Linked DNA regions of Schizosaccharomyces pombe. The protein of the gene in region 1 binds, or shares a complex with, the protein of each later gene. Each region holds a gene or a part of one and is shown on either strand. Other genes may lie near its edges.

Region 1 (3,536 bases):
GAACTAACGTCTTCATCTCATGGCTCGGACACTCGCAGTTTTAATGATAAAACCAAAAATGTGCATTTGGAAAGAGTTGAAAAAATTGCAAGTGAATGGGACCCGGAAGGGCTTAGAGTTTGCTTTTGGGATGCTGTTAATTGTGATGATCCTGATGGCCTTCTACTTCGTTTCCTTCGTGCTCGAAAATGGAACGTTGAGGCTGCGTTGGAAATGTTCATGAAAACCGTTCACTGGAGAAGTAGAGAGATGAATGTTGGTGAAATTGTATGTAACGCTGACCACCTTGATAAAGATGATGATTTTGTGCGTCAACTAAGAATCGGAAAGTGTTTTATATTCGGTGAAGATAAACACAATCGTCCAGTTTGTTATATTCGCGCACGTCTTCATAAAGTTGGTGATGTCTCACCCGAATCGGTTGAGCGACTCACAGTTTGGGTCATGGAAACTGCTCGTTTAATTCTCAAACCTCCTATTGAAACTGCTACTGTTGTTTTTGATATGACTGATTTCAGTATGTCCAATATGGACTATGGGCCATTGAAATTCATGATCAAGTGTTTTGAAGCACACTATCCCGAATGTCTGGGTGAATGTATTGTACACAAAGCGCCTTGGCTTTTCCAAGGCGTTTGGTCCATCATCAAATCTTGGCTTGATCCAGTGGTTGTCTCAAAGGTTAAATTCACTCGTAATTATCGTGATTTGCAACAATATATAAATCCTGACAATATTTTAAAAGAATTCGGTGGGCCTAATCCATGGAGATATACATATCCAGAACCCTGTCAAAACGAAGCAGAAGCTCTGAAGAATGTTGAAGCTCGTAAGAGTCTTAGAGCAAAAAAGGATGCAATTGCTAAACAGTACGAGGAAGTTACAATGGATTGGATTTTGAACAATGGTGACATGGCAGAAGTGAAACAAAAACGTCGTAAGTTAGCTTCACAACTTATTGATGCATACTGGAACTTGGATAAATACATCCGCGCACGCTCAGTTTACGACCGCATGGGCCTAATTGCTCCTCAAACTTCCCATACTTTGCTTCTTTCTCAACCTACAAATGGAGATGTCAAAGAATCAATGGTAGAAGTTACTAGCTCGGCAACTTAGTCGGTCGTAACTTTCAATATTCCTGCTATTTTACATTGTAATCCTTCCCCTTGCCTATACTCCCGTATACTGACTAATTGTACTTTCCCGTGTTATTCTAAATAAGATGCTGGCTCAAAATATGATTGTATCATCTATTAATGCATAACTTTCAAGATCTTTTATATCAATTAGTTACATATGAAATCTCTTTCCTACGTTGATTTTTACACCCCTTTTCGTTTTACCATTTCCTTATCGCTTTAATTTTTTAGCACTCTCTTTAATGCACTTAAAATCATCTAGAAAGGGATAACTTTTTTTAGGTCTTATGGCTTTTCATTGAAGTTGTTGGTCGCAATACTTATCCATCCATTTTGTCTTTATTAGAATCAATGATCAGTTTTATTTGCAAATTAACTTAGATTTCTTGCTATTTATTATTATTTTTTATTTTATTGTAGGAAAGCGGTTCGAAATTAAAAAAAACAACAAGCTGAACACCTAAATGCCTACTCCAAAATATAGTATTAATTTAATGAGTATGCACCTTCGCTGAAGTATATTCCGTGCCGTAAAAATACTTTCGAGTTTAAACACGCGTGAGGTTCAAGCACCGATTAAATTTATTTAAAACAAGAGCGTTTTATTTTATTTTAATTGTTCTTAGTGAATCACTTAATCTTAGGCTCCTGTTTGACAGTTGTTTAAAACTTACAAATTTTTGGAGGTTATGATAGAAATCCTCTTTATTCGCGAATGCACGACGACTTCTTTTACACATCCACCATAAATTCCTGCAACTCGTAGAAAGTTTTGTTGAACCAAATGCGATCATCCTTAAAGCCAGTGCTATCAAATTTGAGGTTCAACTCAACAATTGCATCCGAATCACTTCGGTTTCATGTTTCACGTACACCTTCAAAAAATCTCCCAGTCTATCTAGACTACAAACAACGAGGAACGAAAATTCTGACTTTAATTCGTAAAATCCATGGTGATTCTAATGTAAGTATACATATTCCGTCAGCAGTAATCTCTTGGCTAAAGAAAGTACAAGTAAAGTCACTATGCTGCGGAAATTGTTCTATCAACTTTTTGCTTTAACGGCCAACCCAAGTTTATTTTAACTTCTTTTATTCGTTCTCTTTTTTTTTTCTAACAATATTTTATCAATAGGCTTTGCGGCTCAGGCTCATTTCCACACTTAAAATGTCACCGAAAGATGTTTATGTAAACAAGTTAACAAATCAAGTTGTCCTAAAGGGAAATCACATAGTCACAGTTCGTGAATGGTTACAAGACCAAGGTTTTTAAGTTCCTAGAATTTTTCCTTTTTTAGATTGTTACTATGTATGTACGTATCCTTCTTTCAAAGGAATGATAAAGTTGCTTTTTATCAACATAAAACTCTCGAGCATATATATCAATTTGGCTTTTTAGCATATTACTTTTACTTCATCTCCTTGTTACAGCGGTGATAATGTCAAATAAAACACAGCTGTTGCAAATAATTAATCTCGATTCATTTCTTCTCATCATACGTGGTTTTCAAACTTGACAATGGAAAAAATGCATCTTTTGTGATGGTTTTCCTTAACTACCTTTAAATAAATAGTTATTCGAGCTTCAGTAGAAACATTCAAGAGGTACTTGCGTAAAAAGAAATTCAAACATCTGCTTAATGTGAGGCGTCCAAATGCTAAATACAATCTTTTTTTTGCTACCTATTCGTTTGTTTTGTTGAATTTATAAACGCTTAAAGGAAATTATAATATATATATCGAAACTCCGGTGTTTTTATTTTTTGACTGTAGTTATAGACAGAATACGTTTAAGGCTATTAGGGTATATAACTAAATTAAAAATTCTTTTCTCAATATTGTATAGTTTGTAAATTGACAAATATTAAATGCTATATCGAAAACATACCTTCAAACATAATCTATATATCTGCGTCATACGCCCATGGACTGTTCTTTACCTTTCCCTTCACACATACTTATAATCCTGAAATCTCAACGACTTTTTCATTATTTTTGAATTGAACTTGGATTTGTCTGTGATAGGAATATTTTGACAAACATTTTTAGCTTTTAAAATTTTTGCTTTGTTCTGAAGACGTTGATTTACAATTTGCTTATGAATTAATTATTCACGAGAAGAAAATTCCTTGTAGTTTATCCCTTTTTTATTGGTGATTATAAGCTGAATAACTCTTAATGTTGGGAATTATATTTTCTTTAGTGAACTGAGGCTTTCTCGAAAAATACTTACGGTTATCCATGATTTAATGATTTTCTGTTTTTTTTGTTATTTTTTTTTCGTTTATCAAAAAGTGGTTAAGCATTGACACGATATAAGGCACTTTATTTCCGTGTTGAATTTTTTGTTTTGTTTTTTCTTGACATTAATACCTTACTTTCCTTGAATGCGAA
Region 2 (3,180 bases), on another chromosome or scaffold:
TCTTAGTCAGCATGGACTGGTAAGCTTTTAACTGTGACGAGTCTAGTATATACTCGCCAGGACCGAACGGCTCAAGAGCATTTACGATTTTTTGAGAGTTATTTTTTAAGATAGAATTTATGCGTATCCTAGGATTATTTTGTATGTGTTTAGCAGTCTCCTGATTACTTTTACAGTGTACCAAGTAATCCTTCATCGGGAATGTGCTAGCAGAAAGCCTCTGTAATGAACGAAGAACATGCTTGTAAGCTTCCCAATAGCCTGAAGTAGCTTCGATCATAACATATTCTTCTCGAGGATCTAAAGAGATACTAATATCTTCAAATTTGACATCTATTTCATGAGGATGTTTATTAAGGCCACTCAAGGGCCGCGCACAGACAGTTCCAATGCGAAAAGTCTGGAAATCATCATTGCTTAATAAAACTAAAGATCCACTGATAAGACGACGACTGGTAGCCCATTTTATTTTTTTCTTAGCGCGAACACTGAAGGATAATTTTGCAGCTATAACACTGGAAGATATTGTATAGCCATCTATCCGCACATGATCATATACGGCTAACGAAGAGCCGGTAATGTAATTGGGGTTTACCTTGTACCGAAGCACACTTTCTCGTAATGGGGAAACTGCGTCCTCACGTAGCAACCGATAGTGTATAGATAAGTAATCTTCAAAGGACTTGTATCCTCCGTATATGTTGTTTGAAGGTAATTCAACACTCTTTGACGTCAATTCTTCCAACGTTGGAATTGATGGTAGTTCCCGCCAAGAAGAAGTATCGCTTGCGGGATGGTGTTCGTTTTCGAATTCTCTATTTTTTCCCGATGTTATATCATTTCTCTTTACATTACTCAATTCATAATCGTTGTCAATGCTTCTCTTACGACGTATTGACTTGTTTTCTTTTAAATTTTTATCAACTTTGTTCCCCTCCGAGTCTTGGGTTTTGGAGGTTTCAGAAGTCTCGATTTGTTCTGTGAAACTCGTAGTATTATTATCGGCGTTAAAGATGTTGCTATACAATGGGTGTCTTTTCATTTCACTTAAAGTTTCTGGCTCGGGGATTTCATCAAACACAACTTCTGTATTTTTGTTCACCATTTCCCAGGCGTCCAGCGTACTTAACTTCCAAATTTCATCTTGTACTTGTTCCATAATAAAAAAGAAAAGGATAATATCCAAAAAATTTCAAAAGGTTATTGTACTAAAATATCTCAGTACGCGCCCACTAGGTCGTAATATTAATCTCGTCCTCCCCAAAGAAGCTAAAAGATATCATAAATAACAATTCATGTACAGTCTCTGCACCTGTCTCTAATATTATTTGTCTAACATACAAATGGGTTGTTTGTTTACTGCCAAGGGCCGTTTTCTGTCTTTACGTGACCATGCATTTAACGCGTTCAGATAATACCCGCAATGTGCAGCTTAGTGTGCCAGCATAAAGCATGTAAGCATGTGTTAACATCGTTGTAAAGTTACCTTATCGTAGTTTATCCATCCTTGAAATAGATTTACAAACTGAGTAGCTTGCATAGTGATAGTGAGCTCTCTCATTTAAGATTTTTATAACTGTATAAGGAGGGAAATGCTAACTGACCTATAACATAGTACAGTTAGCAATTCGTTAGGTTGCAATTCCTATTAGTACCACCTTGGCATGTAATATTTACCTGGTTTTGTTACAACATTGAGAAAGCGCATTTGCTCAAATTAGTCGAAAACGTTGACTTCTATGTGTGGAAGGAATATTTGGGAAAAAATTTTTAAGATTTAATTATGAAATACATTAATCAATTTATGAAAATATCAAAGGGCTTTTTAGTTCCATCGTCCACGATAGGATTGAATTCTAAAACGTACCATTACAAATTTCCATTACTTTCTTTTGTTAGAGAATTTTCAAATGGATCCTACTTAAGGGAGTCTGCACAAAATCCTGCAAATTTGGGTTCGCAAAAAGGGTCCGACATTTTCTCAATGCTTGCTAACCAGAAGGACGATTCTAATCGTCAGCAAAAGGAAGAGCGTGTAAAAGAGAGACCAAGGTCACGTATTTCTTTCAAAAAACAGGAGACCATGGATCCTTCCTACACCTTACAATCAATGGTGCTTCGCTCCTCTTTAAAGAAAGTCGGCGCTTTGTGTCGTCAAATTGCCCATAAGCCATTTTATCATGCTTTACTTCAAATGAAAATGTCAGATAAAAAAATTTCCAAGTACATCGCAACTGCTTTGGTTTCTGCTCGAGAAAACGCTGTTCGTGAAGCTGGTCTTGATGAGAGTACTCTCTACGTTGATCAAATATGGGTTGGAAAGGCAAAGTATTTAAAGAAACTTATCACTATGGGCCGTGGAGGTCGTGCCATTGAGAGATCTCCACGGGTTCGAGTTACTGTTGTTTTAAGAGATGAGCGAGCTCTCTTGCGCGATTTACAGCGTCGTCAACAAAGACTAGAAAGAAAGAAAGTTTGGACGCCTCTGCCTAACCGACCAATATACCTAAAATCTAACTTTTTCACTTGCTAAGTCATTATTGAGATGCCCATATCTTTGATACTCTAATAATATTTCCCCCCAATATCGTTTATAGTAATTCTAGTGCCGTTTTTTTTTTATGAGAATATGGTTTCCCTTATTATTTATTTCTTTAGCAACGCCATAATTTTGTATTTACCTCTATGGTGCTGATGGTATCAGTAGAAAAATAGTACTGTAAAAAGGTAAACTAACCAACCTGTACATACATCACTTTTAGTTCAATGATACGTTTTCGTAAAGAACGCAATTCTTTTTAAACTGTCTAATCTTATTAAATCATTCATGCAATCGTTTGCCTCATTAACATTTTTCAAATTTGGTTTGAAGCATTGCAACGAGCTTCTTTTTTTGACTTTTCAAAACGTGCTTTGGACCATATGTTGAAGCTATCCATATCTCTTCACCATTTTGACACATATTTATTGGTTCTAAATTCATCAGACACTTTTAAACAATCAAGCAAACCGAGTATAAAATATCATTAATTCCCCAATTATTAGGTGTAAAGGTACGCTGGATCCGCATTTTAACTCATTTGCAGTAGCAAATGATCAGTAGGAAAAAAAAGGAAACAAACCGCATCAAATAGACAGTAATTCTTTTTAATGGGCCATAATGAAAAAATAAGTTGAGAT

The links. The genes of interacting proteins can lie anywhere in the genome.
Region 2: img2 (region 1) and mrpl22 share a complex: the UniProt entries of both Schizosaccharomyces pombe proteins name them as parts of the mitochondrial large ribosomal subunit.

Annotation. Positions count from the first base shown.
Region 1 is NC_003424.3:589,141-592,676, forward strand, and holds img2 (mitochondrial 54S ribosomal protein mL49), read left to right. Parts: upstream 1-1,926; coding exon 1,927-2,106; exon of another isoform or gene 2,107-2,277; coding exon 2,278-2,415; 3' UTR 2,416-3,012; downstream 3,013-3,536. Other genes in the region: csr102 (sec14 cytosolic factor family phosphatidylinositol transporter), read left to right, coding at 1-1,119. UniProt on the Schizosaccharomyces pombe protein: Component of the mitochondrial ribosome (mitoribosome), a dedicated translation machinery responsible for the synthesis of mitochondrial genome-encoded proteins, including at least some of the essential transmembrane subunits of the mitochondrial respiratory chain.
Region 2 is NC_003421.2:2,027,634-2,030,813, reverse strand, and holds mrpl22 (mitochondrial 54S ribosomal protein uL22m), read left to right. Parts: upstream 1-1,679; 5' UTR 1,680-1,783; coding exon 1,784-2,533; 3' UTR 2,534-2,640; downstream 2,641-3,180. Other genes in the region: helicase Hrr1, read right to left, coding at 1-1,159. UniProt on the Schizosaccharomyces pombe protein: Component of the mitochondrial ribosome (mitoribosome), a dedicated translation machinery responsible for the synthesis of mitochondrial genome-encoded proteins, including at least some of the essential transmembrane subunits of the mitochondrial respiratory chain.